7 linked regions of the Sus scrofa genome follow. The protein of the gene in region 1 interacts with the protein of each later gene in a pairwise test. Links are inferred from orthologs where the notes say so. Each region holds a gene or a part of one and is shown in the gene's direction. Other genes may lie near its edges.

What was found.
Region 2: the proteins of TRAF3IP1 (region 1) and SNAP91 interact in a two-hybrid assay, tested with the Homo sapiens proteins (2 studies listed by BioGRID and IntAct). The link is inferred for Sus scrofa from reciprocal best matches to the Homo sapiens genes TRAF3IP1 and SNAP91.
Region 3: the proteins of TRAF3IP1 (region 1) and FRMD4A interact in a two-hybrid assay, tested with the Homo sapiens proteins (2 studies listed by BioGRID and IntAct). The link is inferred for Sus scrofa from reciprocal best matches to the Homo sapiens genes TRAF3IP1 and FRMD4A.
Region 4: the proteins of TRAF3IP1 (region 1) and CCNA2 interact in a two-hybrid assay, tested with the Homo sapiens proteins (2 studies listed by BioGRID and IntAct). The link is inferred for Sus scrofa from reciprocal best matches to the Homo sapiens genes TRAF3IP1 and CCNA2.
Region 5: the proteins of TRAF3IP1 (region 1) and WAC interact in a two-hybrid assay, tested with the Homo sapiens proteins (2 studies listed by BioGRID and IntAct). The link is inferred for Sus scrofa from reciprocal best matches to the Homo sapiens genes TRAF3IP1 and WAC.
Region 6: the proteins of TRAF3IP1 (region 1) and KANSL1 interact in a two-hybrid assay, tested with the Homo sapiens proteins (2 studies listed by IntAct). The link is inferred for Sus scrofa from reciprocal best matches to the Homo sapiens genes TRAF3IP1 and KANSL1.
Region 7: the proteins of TRAF3IP1 (region 1) and KIF5A interact in a two-hybrid assay, tested with the Homo sapiens proteins (2 studies listed by IntAct). The link is inferred for Sus scrofa from reciprocal best matches to the Homo sapiens genes TRAF3IP1 and KIF5A.

The regions. Positions count from the first base shown.
Region 1 is NC_010457.5:137,908,575-137,912,838, forward strand, and holds the end of TRAF3IP1 (TRAF3-interacting protein 1), read left to right. Parts: intron 1-1,682; coding exon 1,683-1,848; 3' UTR 1,849-3,751; downstream 3,752-4,264.
Region 2 is NC_010443.5:82,539,632-82,543,842, forward strand, and holds the start of SNAP91 (clathrin coat assembly protein AP180), read left to right. Parts: upstream 1-1,380; 5' UTR 1,381-1,591; intron 1,592-1,626; exon of another isoform or gene 1,627-1,673; intron 1,674-1,776; exon of another isoform or gene 1,777-2,031; intron 2,032-2,176; exon of another isoform or gene 2,177-2,344; intron 2,345-2,385; exon of another isoform or gene 2,386-2,575; intron 2,576-2,867; 5' UTR 2,868-2,897; coding exon 2,898-3,027; intron 3,028-4,211. UniProt on the Homo sapiens protein: Adaptins are components of the adapter complexes which link clathrin to receptors in coated vesicles. Clathrin-associated protein complexes are believed to interact with the cytoplasmic tails of membrane proteins, leading to their selection and concentration.
Region 3 is NC_010452.4:48,015,765-48,019,314, forward strand, and holds part of FRMD4A (FERM domain-containing protein 4A), read left to right. Parts: intron 1-3,223; coding exon 3,224-3,452; intron 3,453-3,550. UniProt on the Homo sapiens protein: Scaffolding protein that regulates epithelial cell polarity by connecting ARF6 activation with the PAR3 complex. Plays a redundant role with FRMD4B in epithelial polarization. May regulate MAPT secretion by activating ARF6-signaling.
Region 4 is NC_010450.4:102,259,043-102,263,149, forward strand, and holds the start of CCNA2 (cyclin-A2), read left to right. Parts: upstream 1-1,303; 5' UTR 1,304-1,371; coding exon 1,372-1,584; intron 1,585-2,330; coding exon 2,331-2,574; intron 2,575-4,107. UniProt on the Homo sapiens protein: Cyclin which controls both the G1/S and the G2/M transition phases of the cell cycle. Functions through the formation of specific serine/threonine protein kinase holoenzyme complexes with the cyclin-dependent protein kinases CDK1 or CDK2.
Region 5 is NC_010452.4:39,931,717-39,935,822, forward strand, and holds the start of WAC (WW domain-containing adapter protein with coiled-coil), read left to right. Parts: upstream 1-1,286; 5' UTR 1,287-1,386; coding exon of another isoform or gene 1,387-1,589; 5' UTR 1,590-1,621; coding exon of another isoform or gene 1,622-1,628; 5' UTR 1,629-1,630; coding exon 1,631-1,671; intron 1,672-1,991; coding exon 1,992-2,028; intron 2,029-3,526; coding exon 3,527-3,740; intron 3,741-4,106. Other genes in the region: uncharacterized protein LOC100621751, read right to left, coding at 672-1,076, 1,387-1,589, 1,622-1,628.
Region 6 is NC_010454.4:16,953,564-16,957,113, forward strand, and holds part of KANSL1 (KAT8 regulatory NSL complex subunit 1), read left to right. Parts: coding exon 1-1,131; intron 1,132-3,550. UniProt on the Homo sapiens protein: Non-catalytic component of the NSL histone acetyltransferase complex, a multiprotein complex that mediates histone H4 acetylation at 'Lys-5'- and 'Lys-8' (H4K5ac and H4K8ac) at transcription start sites and promotes transcription initiation.
Region 7 is NC_010447.5:22,815,549-22,819,705, forward strand, and holds the start of KIF5A (kinesin heavy chain), read left to right. Parts: upstream 1-1,312; 5' UTR 1,313-1,588; coding exon 1,589-1,717; intron 1,718-4,157. UniProt on the Homo sapiens protein: Microtubule-dependent motor required for slow axonal transport of neurofilament proteins (NFH, NFM and NFL). Can induce formation of neurite-like membrane protrusions in non-neuronal cells in a ZFYVE27-dependent manner.

The DNA.
Region 1 (4,264 bases):
AAGAGGTGGAGCTTAGGGGCGTCTGGCACTCTGTGGCGTGATCAGTGGACCTGGCCGCAGGCAGCTCTGTCAACTGCTAACTCTCTTTTTGAGAAAACGCTTGAATTGGCTCGGGGATCTGTCTGTAAGCCCGTGTAACTAAAAGTTCAATTATAGTGAAGCTCTGCTATCTGTTACTAGTCTGCTTATTCTTAAAAGTCCCTTAAATTTAGCGGCATGACAGAAGTAGGCGGTCCCTGAGAACTTTTTGGTGCCTGTTCTGACGAGATAACGCGTCAGCCCTTGGCGCAGGTGGGGGGGCCTTTTTTTTTAGGGCCACACCCACAGCGTATGGAAGTTCCCAGGCTAGGGGTCGAATCGGAGCTGAAGCTGCCAGCCGACGCCACAGCACGGCAGCACGGAATTCAAGCTGTGCCTGCGACCTACATGACAGCTTGCAGCCACTCTGGATCCTTCACCCACCGAGCAAGGCCGGCGATCAAACTTGAATCCTCATGGATACTAGTTGGGTTCATTACCGCTGAGCCCCAGTGGGAACTCCTGTTGGCACTTCTTACATTTTGATTTAAGGTATTAGAAAGTATCTCCCCAGACATTTGCTTCCTTACAGAACCTGATTTTGCTTTATGTAGGATGGTTGAAAACTGTCACTGTTTTTGGTTATATTTTATTTTGTATTTATGTGCTTTAAAAACCTCAGGTGGGTTTTCCCGCTGTGGCCCAGCGGGTTAAGAACTCAGCTGTAGCAGCTGGAGGCTCAGGTTGCTGCGAGGTGGGGGTTTGATCCATGGCCTGGCGAAGTGGGTTAAAGGATCTGGTATTGCCACACGTGTGGCTCAGATTCATTCCCCAGCTCGGGAATTTCCATAGGCCATTGGGTGTGACCATAAAAAAAAATTTTTTTTTAATGGAAATAGGAGTTCCCATTGTGGCTGAGTGGGATAAGAACCTGACACAGCCTCCGTGAGGATGTGGGTTAGAGCCTGGCCTCGTTCATTGGGTTAGGGATCCAGTGTTACCGTGAGCTGTGGTCTAGGTCACGAATGCGGCTGTGGTGCCGGCCAGCAGCTGCAGCTCCGATTTGACTCCTGGCCCAGGAACCTCCATATGCTGCAGGTGCGGCTGTAAAAAGAAAAAGAAGAATACATATGAAAACCTAACGGGAGAGGTTATTTTTGACTTCAGCTTTCTCGGGTACATTCTAGACGTTTCCTAGCATTTAATCCAGGAACTCAAAGGCCTCCTGACTTGTCTTGAACAAGCGAGGCAGAGGGGCCGCCGCAGGAAGCCCTTGAAGCTGGAGCGCCTCTCCGGGAGGTGAGGGCCCGTGGGCTGTCGGCTCGGGGTGTTGCGGGCCCCGGGCTCAGCTCCCTGCCGTCCTCAGGCCTCTGCAGCATATGCGCCTTCAGGAATTCGAGCCCATTCCTTTAAGAAACATAAGCCTCCTTTGTGTAAAGTCCATGTTCGACTTTGCTTTTGGTTGTGGTGTGTGCATGCACGTAAGAAAAAGATTCCTCCCAGGCGTGCAGTTCTCCTCCCTTTATGTCGTTCTCCAAGAAGGGTTTGGTTTTTACCCTTTTTCTTGGGGTGCCGTGTTGTCGCTGTCTTTCACTGTTTTGGTCAGGGAGCAAAAACCCAAAGCGAGCAAGACGCTCACGAGCCCCTGGCTTTGTCTTCCCCAGCATCACGGACTGCGCCGTGGAGCCCTTGAAGGCGGAGCTGGCCGAGCTGGAGCAGCTGGTCAGAGACCAGCAGGACAAGATCCGCGCCGTGAAGGCCAGCATCCTGAGGAACGAAGAGAAAATCCGGAAAATGGTGCACAGCATCAACTTGAGTTCCCGACGGTGAAGGCACACGACGCCGAGGACTGAACGTCGCTGTCCTCGGTGTGCGAGTAAAGCGGAGAAGATAGGACGGCGTTTCCCCTGAGGTTTCGGGTTGGAGGCAGGGAGCGGGGTTCGCTGTTAGCCCGCTGACTTTCCGCGCCTGCAGCCCAGCTTATTCCGTGTCTGAGAAGACCGTGCCTGCCCACCTTCCTCTGGCTAGCGTGCTTGCCAGTTATAAAGAGCTCTGCAAAGCGCCCGTGCGAGAAGTGTCTTTACGGGCCTGTCCTGGTATTTCTGCGGCAGGCTGCTCTGTTCGGTTCTGTGCCGGGTCCTCTGGCGGGAAGCCCAGGGCGTAGGAGACCTTGACCTTGGACTCAGCCCAGGGAGGGCTCCTCTGCTGAGCGAAGGAGGCTGCACCTCCTGACGAGCACTTGCCAGGGAGGCCCGAAGAGGAACCCGTTGCATTTTCAGCTCATTTCCACTTGGAAAGGCTTCGGTTCCGCTCACGTCCTTAGAAGGTGCCTGTGGCCTTCTGTTTTCAGCCTCTTGGGAGCTGCATGCGCTGCTTCGTGTAATTTTCCTCTGGGTCTCTGCTCGCTCTGGCTTGTATTTCCAGCCCTGGCAGTTCACACACTTGGCAGGGAGCCCTCGGAGTGGCTTTCACGGCTGTCGTCTGCACGGGAGCTCGTCACAGGCCGTAGCCTCACTCTCCCCAGCATTTACCCTGGCCTCCCCCACGCACCTCCCAGCATAGCTGGAGGGAGTCCTCGGCCCTGCAGATGGGGGGCTGCTCGCCACCTGTTCCTTCCCACAGGCGCACACCTGTGCCCCGAGAGGCCGGGAGCTTGGGGGAAACTGCAAAAGGAAGATTGTAGCGGGGGCGGGTTTACTGAAGGTGTTGATGTTACCATTTTTTAAATTGTTTTTAAAAGCAGAAGGTTTTTTTTTAAAGCATCGTTTACGTGTAGTTTTCACCACATGTGCTGTTGTAAATGCTAAGGCCTGAGGTTTGCGGGTGAAGACTCCCCTGCCTGGAGACAGGGGTCCTCAGGTCTGGGACCTGACCCTTTGCCTCTAGATACCGCGTGTACCGCGCAAGCCAAGGAATTGCCTGAGGAAGCTTTGTTTCTTTAAAAGGTCAGCACAAAGGGCACAGGTAAGGTTTTCTTAGGGTAATTTCCAAGCTGGACCTGTTACAGGGAGGTCGTGTGATTTTCTGAGCTGAGTTCAAGATCAGCTTATTAAGATCTGGCATCTTGAAACACCGGTCCTTTCCCCGCTCTGCACGGCGCCTGGGATTCTGTTGGATCAGATGGCCCGACACCTGTCGTTGGGGGAGGGGAGGCGCGTCCGCTCCCGGCCTTCCCTCGCGTGTCCGTCCTCGGTCCCTGCGACGCGGCCGCAACCCCACGTGGGCCCTGTCTTGCCCCAGGTGAAGCTGTCTGCCTTTTCTCAGTCTGTACAGAAGAGTAGAGTTTTTGTGGCAAAAGAGTGCAGACCTTGTATGCGAGTAAAATTTTGTATGAAGTAGTTGATCAAATTGTATCATAAAATTTATTTTTCTTTTATACATAAATCATTACAAATAATCACCTATTTTTCTATAAGTGCATGGGTTGCAAGTTCGGTTCACACCTGGAAAAAGCATTTATAAGCGTTTGGATTGTTTAAATGTTAAAGTGTGTGCGGTTTGTTTTTCACTGAAGCAAGTTCAGGGAACTGTATCTTTTCATTCATATTGTGACAGCACTTTTCTGTATAAATGGAAGTTCCTTAGGGCAGATAAGCATTTATCAGAAACTTTAAGATCGCTCATGAAGTTTTAGAAAGATTCTGCATGAAGGTATTACTGTATCTTTTCAAAAATGAATTAAATTCCGATGTTATTTATTGTTTTGATAAAATACACCAATGGGATTATCACATGTTTTCCTCTGGTCTGTAAGTTTTCAGAAAGTACTGGATTCATACATCAGAAATTTTGACTTAAAGGGTGAGCTGATACTAATTTATATTTAAAGGAAATGTGTCAACTTTTGAAAAAAGTAGTTTAAAACTAAAATTCAAGCTTTCTGCTTTAGTATTCGTACAGACTTTTCTTTCCAGTAAGCAACTTAAAAAGAGGAGTGGCTGGAACCTACAAGGCGGGACGCTGTTCTTTCGTGACGCTAAGTGCAGGGTGGCGGGGGGTTGTCGGGAATCTGTCGAGTGACAAGCGCCCCGAAGGGTTCCCGGGCCTCTCTCCCTGCTGACGACGTGTACCTTCTGTTGACCCGCTCAGCGTCATGGCTCAGGGGCGAGAGGAGTGGGCAGCTTGTGTCACGGTCGCAGGCTCAGGACGACCGGTTTGCTGGAGCTCCCACAGGCGTCGGGTTCAGGACGAGGGCGCACAGAGCGCAGCGTGGAGGAGGGGTTTCTGCACAGACCGGGCCTCCCCC
Region 2 (4,211 bases), on another chromosome or scaffold:
TAATGCTATCAGTTTTTGCTTCAGTCCATTTTGAAGCTCTTCTCAACTTACAAACATGTAGGGTTGTTACCCATGCTTGAGGAATTTTTATCTTTATGAAATCTTCCCTAATATTCCATATTGTGTAGTCTGATCTGTCTGATAATGTTGCCAAAAGCTCTTTTTTAATCAGATTTATTGAGGTATAATTTACATACAATAAACTCACCAATTTTGTGTACAAATTGATATTTTGAGAAATACATGCAGTTGTGTAACTATTACAACCATGATATAGAACATTTCCATCCCTCCAAAAAGTTATCTTCTGACCCTCTGCAGTCAGTTTCTTTGCCCATTTTTGGCATCTGACATGCTTTGTCTCTATAGTTTTTGCCTTTTTCAGAATGTTACATAAAAGAATCACAACAGTAAGTAGCGTTTGGGCTTTTTTTCTTTAATGGCCACATCTTCAGCACATGGAAATTCCCAGGCCAGGGATCTAATGCGAACCACAGCTACTGCCCAGGGGTGTCACAGTTGCCACAAGGCTGGGGGTCCAACCCTTCCCCTCAGAAGCCCCACAGTTTCCTTCTTAACCCACTGCACCATAGGGGGAACTCCAGAAATGTGTTCTTTTATTTCTCTTGTTTAAATATCTAGGTGTGCTATTGCTAGCTATGGTAAAACTAGCATTTGAAACCTGGCAAAGGTCGTCATGCTTCTAATTAATTCTAGAATCAGTCCCAACAGTTACAAAGTCATGACTTTGTACTCAACATTGTGTCAGGTAATAGAGAGTAAGCAACAAAACCTTGACATCTCTAAGTAGATATTTTACAGCCTTAGGGCCTAATAGAGTCCACCTGTAGCCAAGAACTTTCACAAATGAAGTTCTGATCTTGACTATACTGTGAGAATTCAAAAGATTTTTAAGGTTAGGGTAAATAACAATCTTTGAAAATGTCAACACGAGAAACTATTAACCTAGCCAAATCCCTGAGCAGAAATCCATGTACGCAATTCAAATACCTAAGACACTCAAACACTACATTTAATTGACCGTAATTACTTAAAGGTACAAAGAGTTTTCCTTACAGACCCAAATGATTACTGTAAATATGATCTGGGACTCGATGGATGGTTTTGTTAATTATTTGTCTTTGTAGTAGAGGTCACTATCCATTTAATGTTAAGTGACTAGGATACGATGCTTATCCCAGCTCCCAACTATAACAGGGCCAAGTAAAAGACCCCCAAGGAGTTGAGGGAAGACGCCCCAGGTAACGGCGCGGTTGGCCAGCAGAATCTGACATTTTAAATCGCCCTGCCTATCTGGGCATCGGCTGCTTTCCACTGGCGGGCGAGTCAGATGTAGGGGAGGAGGGGCTGGGCTCTGCCAGGCACCTAGCGACGACGCCCCAGCCCAGGCCTTCACGGAACACAACTCCAGAAGCTCACTCTCCCGGCTGCGCCAACGCCCCCGCCGCCCTGGGCGCATCCCGCAGGCAGCCCTCAGGTGTGCGCGGTGCGCGCGCACGCACTGTCGTGCTGGGTGCGGGTCCAGGGAGCGGAGGGGCGTTTGCGCACCTCGAGGAGGGTGCTTGGCTAGGTAGGTGTCGGCCTCCCTGCCTCCCCGCCTCCTTCTCTCCTCGAGCCTGCCGGGGATGCTCGCGTGCGGCGCCCCCCGGCCTGTAAGCTCGCGGCTCCGGGGAACGGTGTGTGTGAGTAGCTGGGAGGGGGCCGCGAGGCGCTCGGCGGAGAGCTCGCCCGGGTTTGTCCGCCGCCGTCACCTGACTCTTTGGAGCAGCCACAGCTGAGGTGGGGGCGGGGATGGGGACGCAGCGCGGAGTGCTGGAGAGACGCGGCGGCGGGCGGGTGCGGCTGGCTCCTGGGGCCACGAGTGCGGGTGCAGAGACCGCGGAGCGAGGGCGGGGGCCGGGCCAGGGCTGGGGGCGTCGCGCCCCGGGGCACCGGGTCCGCGCGCGGCCGCACACACCCACCTGGCTCGACTTCCCCCGGCGGCCCGGGCTCCCCTGATTCTGCGGCGGGGTGAGTACTCGCGACCCCGCTCGGCCCCCCTCCTGGTGCTAGGGCCGCGCGAGGATCCGGAGAGGATAATCCTAGGGCGGGGAGAAGGGCAGCAGCCGGGTGACAGCTCCGCGGCGCGCCGGAGTGCCGGCGGGGGCTGGGCTGTCAGCCTGTCTCTGCTCCGCCGTCAGGAAGGGCGAGGGGCCCTGAGACTCCGGCGCCTCCGCAGAGCTCCCGGGCGGCCCCTGCAGCAGGGATTTGGGGGCGAGGGGAGGGGACCTGGACGAAGGGCCTCGGCCGGGCTTTGGAGACCGCGGCGGGGAAGGAAAGGGAGGTGAGCGCGTAACATGGCGCAACGCTAGGATAATCGCCGCGACCGAGGGAGGACGAGCTCATTGCTGCAGGAGCGCAAGAAGGAGGAGGGAGGCGGCCAGGGCTTGGGTATCCAATCCATTCTAGGAGGAAACGGTGCGGCTAGGAAGCGCGAGGTGGGCGCTTGGCAGGCGCGGCGCCCAGGGAATAACCCCGACGCTCGCGGGGGCTGGTCTGGCACCCGGAGATCAAGGTAGCAGGGAAAGTGCTGATGGACTGGGGTGCGCGGAGGGGTGAGGCAAGCAGCACGGGGGGTGGGGCGGGATCGGTCGGGGACATTGTCACGATGCTGGGACCGGAGCCCGCACTGAGGTTCCGTGACGGTCCTAGAGTCTTGCTCAAGACCTCCCCAGACCCGGTCGCCCAAGGTACCAGGGCGGGGACGGGGAAGAGAGCCGCTGTGCGGCTGGAGGAGGCAAGGTCTGGGTGTTCTGAGGGTAGAGTCTGCGGCTCAAAGCAGGACCGTCTCCCCTTCTTTCCCGCAGAAGAGGAGGCGGTAGACGCGGCCGGAGAAGATGTCGGGCCAAACGCTCACGGATCGGATCGCTGCCGCTCAGTACAGCGTGACAGGCTCCGCTGTAGCTAGAGCGGTCTGCAAAGCCACCACTCATGAAGTGATGGGCCCTAAGAAAAAGCACTTGGACTGTAAGCATCTCTTTATATAAGTGGGACATGCGCAAGGCAGAGGCACCCTGGATGCGGAGGGCAGGGCCTGAGCTCGCTGTCGGTAATGCTGCAGCCTTCAACTCCCAGCTGGGCTGCCTCTGTGCTCAGAACCTCCCATTGTGGAGGCCTTGCCTTGGGTCAGCCCTGAAACCTTGTCTTTGAATCCCTCCCCCCTTTTTTTCTTTCTGTTGACTCTCCAAGGTCTTGGTGGAGAAAAAAAAAAAAAAGATTATTAATACTTTAAGATACCGAGAAATCGTACATTCTGGATTAGGCACTTTTCACCTCCCCCCGCCCCCTTTCTCCATCCCCTCTCCAGTCCATATTAAAGGAAATCAGGGGTTGCACAGTCCTAACAACAATAACCACAAAAATGGGTTCAAGGAAGGTCAAACGTATCACCCTAGTTGTTTCCTAAATATATTTTGGATCATTTTTAAATAGTGTCTTTTTCAGTGCTGCTGCTGAGATTTGGTGTATGAGTGTGTGTTACATGTAACCACACCTAACTGAAATAAATTTAAGCTCTTGAATGAGGAAATTGCATTTCATAGATAATGGTGATTTCATTTTACACATCCTGGCACACTTCTTTGTCCCTTTCTCAGAAACTGCTGGGCGGAATGACCATGCTGTGGGTACAAAATGGACGTGCTTTCTCAGCATTTGAGAAGGTGCAGTTTTAAGTGAAAACATTCAGTTCATGATTTTTTTTTTTTTTTTTTTTTTTTTTTTTTTAGTATTGGTTGTTTGATGGGGAAAAGCATTAGTCTAGTTGGGAATCTATATATTTCTGAAATGAAGATTTCATTTGATTAATATAGTAAATTTTTTGTTGTTGAAGAGCAAATAAGGACCTTTAGAAAAAAGCTTTCGCTTGCTTTGAGTTCTGAGGTGCCTTATAATTAGAATATATTCCATTAGAATATATTCTGTAGTTGCTTCTCAGTGTTTTGGACCTGCTCAGGATCTGTGTATTGATAAAAGTCATCAGTGGCATGAAAGACACAGGTCTAGCCATACCCATTTCCCACCTGGCTTCCTTTGCCCATTTTTGGGTGTTTCTTTTGTGTGTGTGTGTTTCAGCTTCGGCCCTTCCCCAGAGTCTGCCTTGTGCAGCTGAGAAAATGGCACCACTGCTGGAATAGGCTCTGGTCCTATCA
Region 3 (3,550 bases), on another chromosome or scaffold:
CCAAGTGTAATGTCTGATCTGTGACAGAAAACAATCCCAAAAAAGGAGTTCCCGTTGTGGCTCGGGTGGGTTAAGAACCTGACATAGTGTCCATGAGGATGTGGGTTCAATCACTGGCCTCGATCAAGTGGGTTAAGGATCCGGTGTGACTGTGGCAGCTGCAGCTCTGATTTGACCCCTAGTCCAGAAACTTCCATATGCCGCAGGAGCAGCCATAAGAAAGAAAAAGAAAAGAACCCAAAAAGAAAGAAAATGGCAGCCATGTCAGCAGGTGCCAGGATGCCCTTGGCTGGGAGACCGTCAGGCCTGCCCCCAGAGGTTCTCCTCAGATCACCTCCAGGGCATGAGCAAGATGCCTGGCCTCCCTCGTCTGCGTTCAGAGAGGCTGGTGCAGCACCCCTCACTTTACTGTCTTAGGACTAAACATTGGCAGGGACTAGAAGCGGAGCGTGCAGATCTGGGCCGGAGCAGAGCCTTGGGTCTCCATCTGGTTAATAAGTTATCCAGTCTCAGACCGAGAGCAATTCAAGGCCAGGCACACTACAGACCCCAGGGGTGTGTCCAGGAAATGTCTTTCCTAATTTATGCCGAATACAGTTACTCATTAAAATGCTATCGAACAGGGGGCTGAAAAGGGAAGGAATTTAAGCCAGTGGACAAGGGGATATTCTGAGTGTTTAGTCCCTTTAAAAAAGTGAGAGTGGAGTTCCCTGGTGGCACAGCAGGTTAAGAATCCAGCGTTGTTACTGCAGTGGCACAAGTTCAGTCCCTGGCCCAGGAATGTCCCCATGCTGCAAACATGGCCAAAAAAGTAAAAAATAAAGGAGTTCCCGCTGTGGCTCAGTGGTTAACGAATCCAACTAGGAACGATGAGGTTGTGGGTTCGATCCCTGGCCTTGCTCAGTGGGTTAAGGATCCGGCATTGCTGTGAGCTGCGGTGTAGGTTGCAGACGCGGCTCCGATCCCGAGTTGCCATTGCTGTGGTGTAGGTCGGCAGCTGCAGCTCCAATTGGACCCCAGCCTGGGAACCTCCATATGCCGCAGGTGTGGCCCCAAAAAGCTAAATAAATAACAAAATAAAAAAATAAATAAAAAGTGAGAGACGCCACGGTTCTCACAGAACCGTGCGGTGGGTGAGTGTGAGGGTGGGTTCCAAGAAAAACACACGTGCCCCGGCATCAATGGAGGGGGCGTTAGTGTCCTGAGATCTGTAAGCAGGTCCCCCACCTCCTGCTGCATCCTGGTTTGAAGGCTCTTTCCATCTGCTGTAAAGTCAAGCTCCGGACCCTCCTCTCTGTGGACTGTCACTAGGATTAAGGGAGCCAGTGCCCGGAAATTTAACTCGGCACTTGACACCTGCGGATGCTCAGTAGACACAAGGACTTGTTAGCAGACAGGTGCTGGGCTGGGATTTTTTTGGGGTCAGAAGTGGGCTGTGGGCTGGTGGGGTTTCAAAGACCATCTTGAGGAGTCATTTTCTAACCCAGCCGTCATCAGGATTGCCCGGAAGCTCCTCCTCCTCTTGTGCTGGGAGACACCTGTAATACACTTTCCCAGGGAGACCCCACTTGAGTGAGCACCCCCCCACCTGTGTTCCTCTCTTCCCACGGTCACACCAGGCCTTTTCATGGTGCCTCCTTCGCACATTCCAGTAAGCGATGACTTTGGCTCCCCCGGAATCCCACTGCACCCCTGCCATCCCCACCAGCCCCCGCATTCACTGTTGGGAATCCCTGCTTCTCCTGGGAGTGCCCTTGGCCTCCTGATTCACACAGCAGGTAGCCATCTGTGCAGATGGGCCACCACCCTTGTCCCTGGCTCCATTTAAGTAGCAAGGATTTGTCCCGGGTGCCCTCAAAACCTCGGGTCAGTGTCCTGGGCCAGGGCTGGCCTGACTGCCCAGGAGCAGCTGTGAGGCAGAGTCACTTACAGAGCGGTCTTTGTCCTCAGTGGCTTGTTTGTCTCAAAGGCCCCGGGCGGGAGTCCATCTCTCTTCTTGTCCAGAGAAGGAGAAATTCAACGGCCACTTGAAGGAACTGGCGAGGCTGTTGGCCCCTCAATAGTTCCTTTAATCCTCCCCTTTCCCTCTCACCCCTGCCCCCACCTCAGGCTCTAGAAGTGTCTACAGGAAGTGCCCCCCAGCTCAGAGCTTTGTGCTTGATGGAGGCACCCAGCCTGACACGTGGTGCCACCAGAGCAAGGTGGTTCATTCAGCCTTAATGAGGAAGCTTTCTTGATGCCAGCAAACCTGGTGATCTGTGCTTCTATGGTCAGATCAGTTCTTTGCAGGCTTTAGCCAGATGGTGGATCCCCCAGAGCAAGGTGCATGCTTGGGCTCCCCTGGCCTCACTGGTCGGTGTTGGGGAGAGGCACTGGCTGAGTTGCAGAGAAGCCAGCCGCCAAGGCGTGATCCCCACTGTCATGCTCTGGGTCCACCTGGCATCTTCTGGTGCCCACAGCTGCATTTCTCCCAGGTCCAAAACTCCGAGGGAAAATTCATCCATGTGCTCCTTTTGGCCAGAGTAAGGGGTACAGGAAGGAGGGAAGCACAAAGGAGAGGAAGGACCGCCCATGAGCAGGGGAGCCCTCCTGCCCAGGCTCTGCTGCCCTCCGTCCACACTCCCGCGCGGCTGGTAGTAATAACCCAGCAGAGGTTCTATGTAGAGCCAAAGGTGAGTGGACAGCTGGCGTTGGGCGAAAGGAGCTGCCCAAGGAGGCGTGAGAAGGGGCTGATGCCCAGCCTGAAGGGCTCAAAGTGTGACAGATGGGCCCTGTGTTTGGGGAGATGTGCCCATGTGAGCCCCTCCTTAGCAAACTCAGGAAGAGCAAGACAAAGACCAAGCTAAAAAGAGTGCTGCCGCAGATGGAAAGGAAATGCCCACCCGGGGGGCTCTGGATCTCCAGGAAGGCTGGGTGTTGGAGAACCTTGCTGGAGATCTTGGAAGTGAACCCCCGTGACCCCAAGGCCTGCAGCAAGGAAGTTCTGCTTCTCGGTGATGGCGCCCATCCCTGGACCCACCTGGAACTTGGCTTGAAGTCCCGAAAGTGGGCGTGTCCAGGGAACCAGCTGCCCGGATTGGAGGGGCGGGGCCACTGCAGGGCAGGGCGGGGCCAGGGTCTCCCAGGACTAAGGCCCGCTAGTAGCGGGACGGGTGGAGGGGGAAGACTGGTGTCACCCGCCCTAGCATCCCGCTAAGTGTGCCCTCTGCCCTCCCTCCCACAGGAAGCCGAGCTGGAACGCCTGGAGCGGGAGTTTGCCATTCAGTCCCAGATTACAGAGGCTGCCCGCCGCCTGGCCAGTGACCCTAACGTCAGCAAAAAACTCAAGAAGCAGAGGAAAACCTCCTATCTGAACGCACTGAAGAAGTTGCAAGAGATTGAAAGCGCAATCAATGAGAACCGCGTCAAGTCTGGGAAGAAACCCACCCAGAGAGCCTCGCTGATCATCGACGGTCAGTGCGGAGCCCACTCCCTGCCGCGGGGGGAGGGGGAGGGAGCACCCTGCCCCCGCCCTCAGGGGACCAGGGGACGGGAAGCCCAGCCCCCAAGA
Region 4 (4,107 bases), on another chromosome or scaffold:
ATCATATATGGGGGGAAATATGACTTTAAGGCTATGGAAGTTTTGTTCATTAATCTTAATTCATATTGATTCATATTCAGGTGAATATTGTACGTAAAGGGTGTTTTAAAATACCGTAAGGAAATAGAAAATAAGCTATTTTTTATGTTTTCAAGAAAGGCTCGCTCACACTCATGAATTTGTTGGAAAACAGTGCTTCTTAATTATATACCATTATAATTATTAGATATGTGCAAGCCTTGTATATTAAATGTTAGAATTTGTTAAGGCACATATTGCTAACAGAGTTTTATTTTAATAAGGTCATATTGTTTTTACTATATTTAAACATTCATTTCTAAATGGAGCACATAATTATATATAGATCACTAGAATTTTACTCTGCTTTTTGTTGGCTACCACAGCTTGGGAAAGAAAGAGATGAACATTAATGACCATCTAGTGGAGTTTTTTTGTAGTACATTACTCTTTGCTACATCTATCAACAGTAGTACAAGGTGGTACTTCAAAATAACTGCATCATCATTAGAAAAATAAAAAGCATGACTGTGCGAAGCACTTAAATGGTAAGATGATGTAGTCTGCCACTTGAGTATCAGTTACGTTAGCAGTGTGTTAAATGACTTATGCACGTTATTTAATACTAAGGACACCTATATAACGCATAAACATTATTACTCCCAATTAACAGTTACAAAACTGAGAATCAACATTGAAGTGCTTGAACAAGATCACCGGGCCAGTAAGTGGGCGGATCAGATTTTAGACCTTGAGAAACTAGTCAGTCGAGCTAACTGGAGGTCCTGAGGCTAAAGGCCAAGGTGGCCCACTAATAATTGTTAAAATTTAATTTAGTTTATTCTAGAGACAGCCCTTGCTCTGAGACAGGGACCCCCTAGTGGCTCCGTTTAAAGTCACAATAAGCTTAGGCCCCGCCTCTTTGCGCAGCGCGGGCGTACTTCCTCCTGCTGCTCACCGACTTTTCTTCGCCCCGCTCCGCCCCTGCTCGGTTTCCTTCGCGGCAGCCTTCACTTGCCTGCGACTGTGTCGCCCAGCGTGACGTCACGGGCCTTGGCCCTTATCATTGGTCCATTTCAATAGTCGCGGGCTACTTGAACTGCAGGAACAGCTGCCGCTCCGGCGGGCTGCTCGCTTCATTCCGGGGGCGTCCTTGACCCTGCACGCCCGGCAGCGCCTGCCTCCGGCTTTTGCAACCTCCTTGGTCCTGCACGATCCTGAGCAGGCGGGCGGGCAGGCTGGCCCGGGCTGTGGCGGGTAGGTAGGGCAGGAGTGTTCCTCGGCGGGTCGGCGGGACGCAGTGCACGCTGCTTGGCGCCGCAGGCTGATCCCGTCGCGCCCCCGGGAGCAGTGATGTTGGGCAGCTCCGCGCCCGGGCCTGTGGCCCGCGAGGCGGGCTCGGCGTTGCTAACATTGCAGCAGACGGCGCTCCAAGAGGACCAAGAGAACATCAACCCCGAGAAGGCTGCGGCCGCCCAGCAGCCCCGGACCCGGGCTGGGCTGGCGGTACTGAAGGCCGGGAACTCACGGGGTCCAGCGCTGCAGCAGAGGCCTAAGACGCGACGGGTAAATGAGTTATTATCTGGAGGAGGGTGGGCCAAGCGGGAGTTTTGCATGGGTTTGGACCGCAGAGGAGAGTGGCGAGGTAGCATCTCCTGGGGTTTTTTCGGGAGGCCAGTGTCGGGGGTCCCTTTGACCTCTGGTTTTCTCGAGTGTGGGATGCCACATTACCCCCATTCCTTTCTCCCATTAGTCTCCCTGCCAGCACTATGCGTTTATGTTGCCTGTCTGCTCTATGGAGAGTATTTTGCTATAGACAATAATGGTCAAACCAAATCCTCCGACGTTGAGTATGTGTTAAGTACGGTCTTTGCCGCCTCCGCGCCTTTCTCTCAGCTTTTAGGCCCCAGGCATTGCCCGGACCTCCTTCATGCTACCCACATAATTAAGAGATTACCTCTACTTTAGAAAAAGGTATAAAAAATACTTTGCTTTTGGACAATTCCGCCATCTTACCGAATTTGCTCTGTTGCTCCACCCTGGGGCGAAAGAGGTAAACCACTTTTTTGCCATTTCTCCTAAATTTGGCATCTTTTGGCCTGCCCCACCACCTATCTTAGCCCTGATTATTTTTGTGTAATCCGTTAGTGTGACTCTAAAACCTCTGCAGGAACGCATACTCAAATTTCCTTGCCTGAATTTTGCCCCATAAAGTTTAATTTTCCTGATAGAGTATTTGGAAGTAAATGCAGTATAAGGGGATGAAAGCCAAATTCCATTTAATAGACTCAAAGCCAGTTATTTATTTTTAGGTTGCGCCTCTTAAGGATCTTCCTATAAATGATGAGCATGTCACTGTTCCTCCTTGGAAAGCAAACAGTAAACAACCTGCATTTACCATTCATGTGGATGAAGCAGAAGAAGAGACTCAAAAGAGGCCAGCTGAATCTAAAAAACCAGAAAGTGAAGATGTCCTGGCTTTTAATTCAGCTGTTACTTTACCTGGACCAAGAAAACCACTGGTACCTCTTGATTACCCAATGGATGGTAGTTTTGGTAAGTTTTAAAGAATATCTGTATCAAATAAATGTAATCATAATTATTGCATAGGTAAGTTTAGAAAGGCTGTGACTTATTTCAGGCCTCACAGTTTATCCATGACCTAGTGACCTACAAAAGGATCTTAATCCTATACTCTCTGGTACACTATTAATCACATCAGTTTTATTAGATCTCAAACACTTACTTTAATCTGACCCTGGACATGTTGCTTGATTGGGAGAATATATTTCAATTGTATTCTTAAGATTCACTTTGTATATACCATTTCAAAGAGTGCTATTTGAGGATGTAGTTTAAATATTGTGATCAGGAGTTCCCGTTGTGGCGCAGCGGAAACGAATCCGACTAGGAACCATGAGGTTTCGCGTTCAATCCCTGGCCTTGCTCAGTGGGTTAAGGATCCAGTGTTGCCATGAGCTGTGGTGTAGGTCGCAGATGTGGCTTGGATCCCACGTTGCTATGGCTCTGGCGTAGGTTGGCAGCTACATCTCTGATTAGACCCCTACCTGGGAACCTCCGTATGCAGTCCGGTGAGGCCCTAAAAAGACAAAAGACAAAAAATAAATGTTGTGATCAACATCTCTTCCAGCTTTAAACTTTTGTTTAAAAGCAGTCTGAGTGATTGACTGACACCAGGGAGGGACATGGTTATCCTGTGAGTCACAGTTGAACTATGCTTTTTTGTACATTACCACATATAATAGATGGGCTCACTAAATCTAGTATATTTTAGTTCTGTCAATGAGAGGTATAGCAGGGAAGTCCTTTGAAAATAAAATAATTTGTGTACTTTTATTTAAAATGTACAGGAGTTCCCTTGCGGCTCAGTGGGTTAAGGATCTGGTGTTGCCATGTTGTGACTGGTTACAGCTGTGGGAGGGTTCCATCTCTGGCCTGGTAGTTGCCACATGCCCTAAAAAGACCAAAAAAAAAAGAAAAAAGTAAAATTTACAACAAATTTTAACCTCAGATTAAACCTTGAAGTAAAAACATTAATAGCTGATACTTTTTGCCTCCAAAGATAATCTAAATTTACAACAAAGAATCTCCCCTTGATTGTAGTGTTAATAGGTTGGAACTGCCCATAACAAATATAATTCTCTTTAGCACACATTAGCCTTCTAGTTACCGTCTAGATTGTGCTTTGAATACGTCAGACTTTGGGGTCTGTAAGCTCCCTTATGACAAATCCTAGGTATTACCTCAAAACTTGATTTTAACTTATTCTGACAGAACCGTTGTACTCCTGTCATGGGAGATGAAGGATACTTTAACAAAATATCTTTTCCTCAAATTCTTTTTCCTGTTAATGGCTTATCAGTATTTTTTTTTTTTTCTTGTTAAAATCATTCCAAAGCTAGGTGGACAGAGGTACGAAAATCAGAGTGAAATCCTCTATGTATTTTGTCATAAGAAGCTCTTTTTAGTTGGATAAAATAAATGCTTTGGTAGTATGGGACTCCTTACAAGGACAATCACTTTTAGCTTTAATTAGATAGAAAATTAAAAGTAACTTAATCTTATTTC
Region 5 (4,106 bases), on another chromosome or scaffold:
ATAAGGTTACATAATTAATATTTTTTCGATCAGTGGTGATTTCAGGGCCTTTTCCTCACATGATTCCGTATCTTCACTATGCCACAAATAATGCAACTGGTTGTATACCAAATAAATAAGTTTTTTGGAGGGATCTTGTTTCTTCTGACTTGTTTCCTATTTAGCTTTTTTCTTCCAGGTAAACGGCTGTGTACTTTATCATCATCTTTTTCACTCAATGTTGCCGTACAAGTTTAGAGCAGAAAAAGAAAACCATCTGAATACCAGTGCCCTCAAGTAAAGCCCTAATTTGGGGGTGGTGATACTTGATTTTTCCCCTCCCAATGTGCAAATGTTCCTATAGGGCCTGGAACAGTCTATAAAATGTAGTTTGCGGAGATTTCATTAAGCTCTCCCTAAGCCGCGCAGAACCTCCAGATGACTGCATTTGAGCGAAAAGGAACGGAAAGAGAGAAAAACGGGAAATAAAGGAAGGAGGGGGTAGGGGAGGAAACGTTAGGAGCAAGGATGCGGAAGCGCCTCGATTCTTTTCCCAAGTAACCCCACCCGTGCGTCCCAGGCTCGGTCGTTTTAACCCAAAGGCCGAGCGGCCCTCGCTCTTCCTCTGGGGGTGCAGGCCCCGCGCCCCCCTTGCTGAGGCTCGCTCGAGCACGCTTCCGGGTGAGACTTACTTTCACGAAGCCGAAGGCCCAGCTCCGGGCCCTGCCCGCGTACGGCGCCCCGGCCCGACTTCGGCTCCTAAGAGCAGGCCTGAGGGGCGTCCCCCCGGCGACCCCGCCGCAAGCCCGGGGCCGCCGAAGCACCAGGCCCGCGCTCTCCCCGAGGGCGCCCCCGCCCCCGCGCCGCTGGGCGCACGCGCAGCCGCCGCCGCCGCCCTTATTTAGTCCGCGATGGCTCCTCGAGCGCCCCACCAGCCTCCTCCCCAAGGCGCCGCCCTCCCCGCGCGCCCCAGGGCCCCTACGACCAGCCTCGGGCGGCTCCCCGAGCCCGACGACCCCTAAACTGGAACGGTGGCGGCCGGACGTACGCTGGGGTTCTGTGGCGGCAACCGGAAAGAGCTGACGCGCGCGAGGAGGCTAGCCAGGCCTCGGAGGAAGAGGAGGGCCGGGGTGAGCCGAGGTTTGCCGAAGGCGGCGTTCCGGAGCCGCGCGAGGGTGGGAGAGGAGGGGCGCGGCGGAAACTGCCGAGGGCTTCCGAAGGCCGCAGAGGCCGAGTTGCCCGGATGTAGTTGGTGGAGCGGCAGCGGCGGCACCAGCGGCGGCGGCGGCAGGAGGAGGAGGAGGAGGAGAAGGACCCGAGCGGCGGCGGTGGCGGCGGGGGGAGGAGGGGCGGAGGCGACGGAGAGGGAGGGGGAGAAGGCGGAGGGGGCAGTCGCTCTCCGCGGGCCGAGCCGGACGCGTCTTCTTGCCCCCTCCCCCCGGTTCGCCGCTGCCCGGCTGAGCGAGAGCGTGGTGCGGGCGGAGGGAGATGGCCCGGGAGCGCCGGCGCCAGTAACGGGGAGGTGCTGAGCGTCGTCGGGGCGCGCCGGGCCCTGTGCCGCCGGAGGCCGCCGCCCGCCGCCTGCGCGCCCGCCGCCCGCCTCGCGGCCGCTGTCCCCCCTCCCCGACACACGCTCACAGGCCGGGCATTGATGGTAATGTATGCGAGGAAACAGCAGAGACTCAGTGATGGGTAAATCGTCTTTTCGTTTCGGGCCGGGCTGCGGGCGGGCGGCGGGGGGGCGCCTCCTTATCTGGGGCCGGCCGCGCCGCCATTTTTGTTGTTAACCCTGCTCGGGCTCTGCCGGGGGGAGCGGCCGCGCGGGCGGCGGCGGGCGGCGGGCGAGTGCAGGCGGGCGGGCGCGCGTGTGAGTGTGAGCGCGAGTGAGCGCGTGTGCGTGCGTGTGAGCGCGCGGGGCCCGACCGGGCATTCGCGGGAGCGCGGGGCGGCGCGGGGTTCCGCGGGGGCCGGGCCGTGCCCGCGTCTCATGTCGCCTCTCTTCCTGTTTTCAGCTGTCACGACCGGAGGGGGGACTCGCAGCCTTACCAGGTACCCGCGAGGCGGCGGAGGGCCGGGCGGCGGGCGGGCTGGGCGGGCGGGGGAGGAACTGCTACTCGAGCGCAGGCTTCGCGAGTCGCTGCAGGCCCTTCGGGGCCCCGGAGCCCACCCGGGCGTCGCGGGCCCCCCGGGCCCCGAGCTCGGCGCCCGACGGGCCCTCGAGACTGATTTTTGACAGGTGACCGGGGGGGTGGTCAGGCTTTTTTAGGAAAAGTCGTTCTCGGCTAAGAACGACCTGACTCGATTATTTGTATGTGAGGGGATTGGTGGGGCGAGGTAATAGGGGATTTCTCAGCCGGCTTTATGTGTGTTGGGGAACTAAAAGTTAAGGTGAAGCGACGGAAATGAGGTGGAAGGCCAGGGAAGAAGCCACTAATTGATTGGCAGCTCTGAAGTGTTTTGTAAACCACTACCCCTTCCTAATTTGTTTTTGGTGCAGTTAAGTGCCTTACTAATGAAAGATGGCGCTTTTGTTTCTATAGGAATTGAGGTCTTTGGATACTTGGGTAATTCATTCTAATGTAGACGGTTCTAGGTACATAGGTTCCTCTTTGTTGTTGCAGTCACTGCATCTAAAATTTCAAAAAATTATGATAGACGTGGCCCCACTTGTCCGGGCCGTCGTGGGGGTGGGGTGGGGATAATGGTTGGTAACTCAGAGGACCCTAGAAGTAAATACTTTCTACATCAGGTTTCTAGGCTGTTACATCTGTTCCTGACTACCATGGGTTGTTAAAGCTCAAGTTAAAAAAAAAAAAAAAACCCTAGGTCCTCTGTAATGTGTTAAAAGATTAAACCCTGTTGAATCAGGCCCTCTGAAATTTAATTAATCACACATTTTAAGAGACTGCTACATCATCATTGTCTTAAATACGTTAAAGATGTCTACATATGCTAGATTATTGCGAGGGAGTTCCATTAAGTTCCACTAAGATAATGTCAGAAATATCAGTCAGCATTTTTATACCTTAATATTGTTTCTGCCACCTGCAAGAGTAGTTGTTAGGTCTGAAATGCTTTGCTTAAATCCAAGAATTGGAAAACCTGATGGGTTCTCTCTCCCTTTTTTTTTGTTGGTTTGCAGAAACATGTTTATACTTATTTATATGCATTTCAGTTTTAGAGCAGAAACAAATTACAGTAGTACTCTGACTCTGCTTTTCTTTAAACTTTTTAATTTCCAGAAAAATTTATTGAGAAGTGAATGTCCCAACATGTTTGATTTCTTGTATTTATAAGATAATTTGTTTGATTTCTTGTATTTATAAGATAATGAATGGGTTTTTTTTTTTTAACATAAGGTATTACAACTTGAGGAGCCTTATAGTAACTCTTAGGCATTTAGGTATTGTCTGTAAAACTTAAAGGTAGACCTGAAAGAGGAAATTTTAGTTTTATTGATCTAAACTCATAAAACATAAATTATATACCAAATTTTGTAATGAAATTAATTTAGAAAGTTTAAGATGTCAATTCTTTCTTTCTTTGGGGGGGTGATGTTTTACAGGCACTTAAGTATTCATCGAAGAGTCACCCCAGTAGTGGTGATCACAGACATGAAAAAATGCGAGACGCCGCAGATCCTTCACCACCAAATAAAATGTTGCGGAGATCTGATAGTCCTGAAAACAAATACAGTGACAGTACAGGTCACAGTAAGGCCAAAAACGTGCATATTCACAGAGTTAGAGAGAGGGATGGTGGTGAGTAGCTTTTTTTGTTTAAACTTTCACATGTATTTATTCTTAGTAAAAAATTTGTATAAAACAAAAGGTATACTATATCTAGCTTCAAGGTGTTACTATATGCTTATATCAGAATATTTTATTTTTGTTGATTTACTTAATTCCTAAACAAATTTCTGTAGAAATAAGATTCTGACCTGAGTGAGCATCTAAACGGTGACTGAAGTGGCTGGTAGTTAGAGGAGTCATTTATGCAATGTAGTCTGCCAATGCTTTATTAGTGGTGAGAGAAGGGCTGGACATTTTTCCACAAAAGGAACTTTCACCTTTTTTTTTTTTTTTTTTTTCTTGTCTTTTTTCGTTTTCTTGAGCCACTCCCGCTGC
Region 6 (3,550 bases), on another chromosome or scaffold:
CATTGCTGCAGAGGATCCCAGTCTAGACTTCCGAAATAATCCTACCAAGGAAGACTTGGGAAAGCTGCAACCATTGGTGGCATCTTATCTCTGCTCCGATGTAACATCTGTTCCCTCAAAGGAATCGTTGAAATTGCAAGGTGTCTTCAGCAAGCAGACAGTACTTAAATCTCACCCTCTCTTATCTCAGTCCTATGAACTCCGAGCTGAGCTGTTGGGGAGACAGCCAGTTTTGGAGTTTTCCTTAGAAAATCTTAGAACCATGAATACAAGTGGTCAGACAGCTCTGCCACAAGCACCTGTAAATGGATTGGCAAAGAAATTGACTAAAAGTTCAACACATTCTGATCATGACAATTCCAGTCCCCTTAATGGGGGAAAACGAGCTTTCACTTCATCTTCTCTTCAGGGAGGTGAAGTGGTGGCATCTGAGTCTGGGGACTTGAAGGGGGGTATGACCAATTGCACTCTTCCACATAGAAGCCTTGATGTAGAACACACAACTATATTTAGCAATAATAGCACTGCAAACAAATCTTCTATAAATTCCATGGAACAGTCGGCACTTCAAGGAAGCAGTAGGTTATCACCTGACACAGACTCTAGTTCTAACTTGGGGAGTGTCAAGTTAGAGGGTAAAAAGTCTCCCCTGTCTTCCATTCTTTTCAGTGCTTTAGATTCTGACAAAAGGATAACAGCTTTACTGAGGCGGCAGGCTGATATTGAGAGCCGTGCCCGCAGGTTACAGAAGCGCTTACAGGTTGTGCAAGCCAAGCAGGTGGAGAGGCACATACAGCATCAGCTGGGTGGATTTTTAGAGAAAACTTTGAGCAAACTGCCAAACTTAGAATCCCTGAGGCCCCGGAGCCAGTTGATGCTGACTCGAAAGGCTGAAGCTGCATTGAGAAAAGCTGCCAGTGAGACGGCCACTTCAGAAGGACTCAGCAACTTCCTGAAAAGTGATTTGGTTTCGGAAGAATTGGAGAGATTTACAGCCAGTGGTATAGCCAACTTGAGGTGCAGTGAACGAGCATTTGATTCAGACGTCACTGACAGTAGTTCCGGAGGAGAGTCTGATGTCGAAGAGGAAGAATTGACCAGAGCGGATCCTGAGCAGCGCCATGTACCCCTGTGAGTAGAATGATGCCTAATGTTCTTGAGAAATGCTGGGGCAAGGGAGAAAAACCTGATGTATTCCCATCGTGGAAAGAAAGGGGCTCTTTGCCTAGGTTCCGTTTGTCTTTTTCTTTTCTTAATTTTTTGGTAGGTGGGTTCACATAGACCTGCTAGTGAAGAAATGGAGGATGGTTTTGGTATAGTGTTGTCTTGCTGTAGGCTAAAAGCTGCTAATTTCCCATTGAAATCTTATTAAGAAAAAACTAGAAGGCATCTAGTTTGAAACTGTACTCATCCTTTCAGAGGGAATAGATTTCTTTTGAAACTATTCATAGGATATTTTTGTAAGTTTCTAAGGCTTGACTTCAGATTTTGTTGTTTTTACTAAGTGGGGCCAAAAGTTTAGTTGACCTGGTTAAGTTCACTGGAATTTATAGTTGCTTTTAGTTGAGCTTTCAGTAGAGAATGTACCCAAGTGTTCACTTGAGATTTCTTTATGTTTTAAGGACTAATAAGAAGAAGATACTTCAGAGGTTTATGGACTAATAATAAGAAAATGCTTTATAGGTTGCCTCCAAGCACCATATGCTTTCACAATTTGATTCTCTTCCTAAAAGAAATCATCTTTGTCAGATTTGGATTTTATTTTCTCTGAGCTCCAGTTAAATATATTGACAAATTTGGGATAAATTCTTACTAGTTTTTCAAAATCTGCTGATTGAGAAAAGTTGTCCATAAGCTTTGTGTAGTACTCCAGGTGGGCCTGGTTGAGCCAGAGGTACTTTACTTTTGTTCTTCCCTCCTGATCCTGCAGTGGGCTCTTTATAGATAAACAAGAAAGTACAGTGTACCTCCTTAAAGATAAACCAGTCTACATTTATCTTGACTTATGAGAGAGGGAAACCAGAGTGGTTGGAAAAGAGGGACAGGAGAGTTGACTCCAGTAGATCCCCTTTCATTTCCTCTTTGGGTAGGGATGTTGTAAAGGTTAATTACTAGAGAAAACTGAAATAAGTGGATACATTGGAAAAATTGGCTTTCCTTTGCCTTTAAAGGTGACTAATATTTTCACTGGAGACTTTGTTGAGATAGCTATCCTTTTAATTTTAAGCATAAGTAGGTAGCCTTTTTTCTCTGTTTTGCATATGTTATTTCACATGGATAACACTGTATCTGAGTATGAATTTTGGTTTGTGTTTCTAAGGGAAAAAGTGGATAATTTTGCTGAATTTTTTCCTTGTGGCCCAAGTTCCATTACCATTTGTTAGATGACTGGGCTCAAGAATCCACTTTTCTTTCTTTTTTTTTTTTTTTTTTTTTTTGGACTTTTTGCCTTTTCTAGGGCCACTTCCTGTGGCATATGAAGAATCCACTTTTCTATTCAGGTTTAAAGCAAGTGTATTTCAGAACCTTGGTACTGCTATAACATAGTTACCTTTCCTTAAATGGATTAGTGCCTTAAAAAAGCTTGCTAGTATTTGTGGCATTATCCCCACTGACTTTCCTGCATAAACCATTGCTGTAAGAAATCTTGGTTAACAGTTGAATATTTTGTGTTAAAGAGTAATTTTCTGTAACATACTGTAGTTGAAGCATTTTAGGCTTAGTGTATTTATTTTGTCTGAGGAAGAAAAACATCCAGAATCTATAAGCTTATTGTTTCCAGGATACATTGTATTGAAAACATTGTTTTGATAATGTTGTGAGTAACTGTTCCAACCCAGTGTAATCAAAATACCTGAGAGAACTTTGCTTATTTCATGAGATAGTCTAGTGATTTGAAAAGACCTTTTAGTCCATTCATTTACTTAGTTTTGGGCATTCTTCTAACTTAATGGTTTGTTGATTGGAAGGCTGTGAATTATAAGGACAGCTAAGGGATCTTTTTAGGAAACTTTTTGGGATCAGTTGAATTCTCTTACAATGAAGTCAACTAAATCATGCTTTAAAGTAAGGACAGTTTGTGCACTAAAAGTACTGTCAAATAAATACACTTTTTGTACATTATGGTATAATTGAATTTAAATTAATTAACAGTAAAGTGTAAATACTTGTAAGTTCTTCATAAGCAGGATCACCAGACTGACTCCTAAGGCTGTTATTTAGCTAGGTATTTGTTCACCTTCTGAGTATTCTAAAGATTTTCTGCAATTGGCCAATGAGAGAGTGGAGGCATTGGTTTGATTGAAAAAAGGAAAAAATGGGAAATTGTTCTTTGGATGCTGAGAAGCCTTTTCTTTGTGATTTAAGAGTCCCTCCCAAGTCTCATTAATCACATTTATAATTCTTGAGTCCTGGAGTAAGAAGTTAGTTAACTATTCAGGAGCCTGACCCAGCTGGTGAATTTCAACTTTTTTCTTCTTCCAGTAGCCTGTTCATATTTCACTCCTTTGCTAAAGTACTTCTGCCAGAGATAAAGTCGCTAGATTTAGTC
Region 7 (4,157 bases), on another chromosome or scaffold:
TACTGCCTTCCTATCCAGTTTCTTATGCAGAACCCCTTTTCTTCAATTTCCTTAAGATTCAAGGTGGGTTAGGGGCATATGTTCAACTCAGGAAACACCCTCGGTTGCATTCTGAGTGATTAGGTCTTATCTGGCCAGGCCATCATTCTCTCATCCTTTCCTCATGGTGTCTAAGTGACCTTAAAAACTTACCAGACAATTGCTAGGCAGAACCTCCATCCCCTCCTCCCTTCTCCCATCACCCTGCTCCTCCCCTTGGCCTAGAGCCTCAATTCCTGCAGTCTAACTCTGTTGGCCAGCAGAGGCCCTGTGACGTGGAGAAAAATCAATCCAGCCAGCTTCTAGGTGGTTCTGCCCAGGGTCTGCAGCACGAGTCTGATCCAAAGGGAGGAAGGACAAGAAAGGCTTGGCATTTTTTTTTTTTTTTTTTTTTTGGCCAGGGAAAGAGAAGAAACAGAGGGAAAAAAAAAAAAAAGCCTGAAAAGGGGCTTGGGGTGTTGGGACTCTGTCCAACAGTTCTGGGACAGGAAACACACTCACGTAGGTGCCTAAACCTGCCTGAAGCCCAAATGCAGATGTCTGCCCTAGAAATCCTTTCTCAAAGCCCCTCTGGCCTTACCCACTCCTAAAGTCCTCCTCCATCACTGCTTTGTTCCTCACTTCTTGCAAAAGTTACTCTTGGCCCACCTCCTTCTCAGCCCCAACCTAGGAAGAAAAAATGAGAGTCTTATCTGCTTTTGAATTCTGATAACAGAATGGGAGTTTGTCTTCCTTCCAATTGGGGTCCTGGTGTGTATGTTGGGGAGAGAGTAGAGTGCATCTTTGCACGCAGAAGGGGAAAGGGGAGAACTCCCCTGACACCCTGAAAAATGGGACTTGAACACGCACTTCCTTCCATAGGGGTACAGGCAGCTGCCCTTGAAGGTTCAGTGGGTTGGGAATCTTTGCGAGGGTTTTTGTGCTCCCAGTTTGGAGCGAGGACTGTGATGAGGGTGAAGGATGCCTTGGAATGAAGGAGATGGAAGCACAGTTGACTCTTCCTGGGACAGAAGACAGGCCCACCTCAGACTCCTTAGCCCTTCCAGGGGGTGGAGGCCGGGGTGAGGGACAGACGGGTCAGGCATGTGGGGGGTGGAAGGCAGAGAGTGACTTGGGTGGGGAAGGGGTGAGGACAGGGTAATCGAGCAAGCGTTAGGGGTGGGGCGAGGAGGCGCGATGACAGCGCAGGTGCCTCGCTTGGGTGGTGGGCGCCGCGGAGCAGCACCCCCCAGCGAAGGAAGCCCCGCCCCGCTCCTCCATCGCCGCCCCGCCCAGGCCCGCAGCGCAGCGCTGCAGCGCGAGGGACCGAGAGGCAGAGCGCCCAGAGAGGACCAGACCTCCAGGTCGCCCGCATCCCCCGTGCAGCAGGAGAGAGGAAGCGTGGCCCAGCCCTGCTCCTTAGCGTTAGCCTGGTCACCCGCCACAGCTCCCTGAGCCTCAGAGACCGAGCACCTGTCCTCCGCCTCGGCCTCAGCTGAGCCCCTCTCCGCCGGAGCACTCGCGACCCCTGCAGCCGAAGAAGTGCCCCAGCCTCACGCCGGCGACCACCATGGCGGAGACCAACAACGAATGTAGCATCAAGGTGCTCTGCCGATTTCGGCCCCTGAACCAGGCCGAGATTCTGCGGGGGGACAAGTTCATCCCCATTTTCCAAGGGGACGACAGCGTCGTTATTGGGGTGAGTGCCGCCCCCGGAGGGAATTTCGGAGAGGGGACGGGGAGGCTGAATCTTTTACTCCGCAGAGCCCTAGCTCCTGCCTGTCTCTGCGCCCCCTCTCCGCTGCTCATCCTCCATCCTTTTCGCCGCAGCCCCTCCTCTCCCTGCATCAGGATGGCTGGGTGTGGCCTGGCCAGGCCGGCGGCCGAGTCTCCGCAGAGTGGGAGGGGGCTGCCTTCCCACGATCAATGCACCCAACGCCCCTTTGCTGCTCTCTGCAGCGTCCCCACCCCTAGAGCCAGTCCCGTGTTTTTCTGATGTTTTCCCTCTTCCCTAGGGAAAGAGCATCTTCCCTTTGTTATTGGCTCAGATCTCTACCCTCCAACACCCAGGGAGGGAGGGGAAGACTAGTGGGTGGGCTAGGTGGGGGATGGGCAGTCCAAGGTCTCTGCGGAGGTGTAAATGAAAGTGGACTCCAGGACCCCGGCCTCCATCATCCCTTGAAGTAGTTACAGCCTGGACTTGGGGGGAGGGCAGGGATCTGAGAAAAGGTTTTCGGAGAAAGAAATACATTGATGCCACACCCAGCTTGATGGAGGAGCCTCTGAGTCCTAAGGAAATGTCTGCCTTTCCCTCCCAGGTACAGTAGGAGGAGGATTTCAGACGCGCCGATTCACCCTAACAAATAAAAATAACCAAACCTGTTATCCTAACAAGTAGTTGCTTATTCATCCTATCTCTTGATAATCCAATAAAAAGTGGCAAGCCACCTCCTCTACCTCATCATGACAACCCCTATCCACAGAAGAGACGTTATTAAGAAGGAGCAATAGTGTTTTCTGTGGGCTCATTATGCTGCATATATTGTTTAATCCTTAAAACAACGCTCTGAAGAAGGTATTAATATTTCCATTTTACAGATGAGGCAATTGAGGCCCAAAGAAGTCAACTGACTTTCTCAAGGTCACACTGCTAATTCATGGATATGAACCTAAATCTGTAATTCCAAAGCTTATGTCTCTCCTTCTGTATATCACATTGCCTCCACAGATTTCCATTCTGGACTTTTATCTGGGATGACTCCAAAGGAATTCCTAGGGAGTTCCTCACCTTCCCCTCCTCTCCTAAGTTGGTAGGGACTGTCAGGCTATGGGATGAAAGGGTCTGGGGTCAAGTCTAGTAGGGCTTGAGGGGTGCTGGGCCAGGAAACTGTAGCCAGTTTGAGAAGGGCCCATATAAGGGCCGTCCTCAAGGTCAGGGGCACATCTTATGTATTTTTGATCCACAGTGCTGGGCGCAGGGAATGCTTGTGAAAAGGATGAAGGAAAAAAGGGAAGGGAGTCTGGGCCTTCTGAACCAGTGAGAATGGGACTTCGAGTAAACAGGCTGTAGGAAGAGATTTGCTTACATGTCTTGTCCCCAGGGGCTCTAGTTTGTCACCAGGCTCTCTCACCCACACTGTGAACTCAAATGAGTGCTTTTGCCTTGTGCATGTGCTGTGTATGTGTGTTTTTTTTCACATAGAGAGGGCCCCTGTCTCTCTTTGTCTCAAGGGCCATAGACCTTGCAGTCTGGTCTGTCTAGCCAGGCTAAAAGAATGCCTGGATCAACCCCTGGGGCCTCTTCTCTGAAGAGTCTGGACAGCAGGCATTAGCTGTGAAAGTAAGAGCTTGAGGGCCCCCCATAAAGCTTGAGAAAATAGAAGCAAGGTGGTTATGGAGGAGCAAATCCACAAAAGGCTTCCACTTTTAAGTCTATCTTCCTTGACTTAAATCTGGGTAAATCTGAACCATCTCCTTTAGGCTCTCTGGGCCATCCCTCTCTGGGTGTTGTTGGGAGTTGTGTTGATCTGTCTAATTTGCTCAGTTAAATAGGAGAGACTTGGTGAAAGCAGGAGGGAAGAGAGATGAAGAGAGACCCAGGGCCCCTGCCAACTCAGATCCTATCTTACGCCACAGCTGGTCCTTCTTGATCCGTTTTGCCTGATATTTGCAGGGCTGTACCTTTGTCTCACTCTGTATCTTCCCTTACCCTAGTCCCTCCTGTCAATCTCTCACACCAAGGTAAGTGCTTATGGGGGCCATTTTGTCTCAGGCAGCATCCTGGGAGCTCGTCTGCCCAGCCTTTCTATTCATTTCTCATTCAGGAGGATGAGGGCTAGAGGAGAAGTGATTTTGAGGAGCGCCTTGAGGGTCCCCACAAGGGAAAGAAATCCCCCACTCTTTTCTCTTCCTCTAGCTCCCTTTGGAGCCCAGGGTATGGGAAACTGACTGAGGAATTAGTGGAGGAAGCCGCTTCGGGATGTCTGGGAAGGTGAGGAAAGAATGAGGGTGGGAGAGGCTAATCTCTGCAAGCCCAACCCCTGCTCCCTTCTCTGACGGCTCTCCTCTCTGCTGCAGCACTGCGGCTAGCTCTGGGCTACAGAGTCTCTAATGTTTGTGGGCTTTTTCTGCTTGGCAAA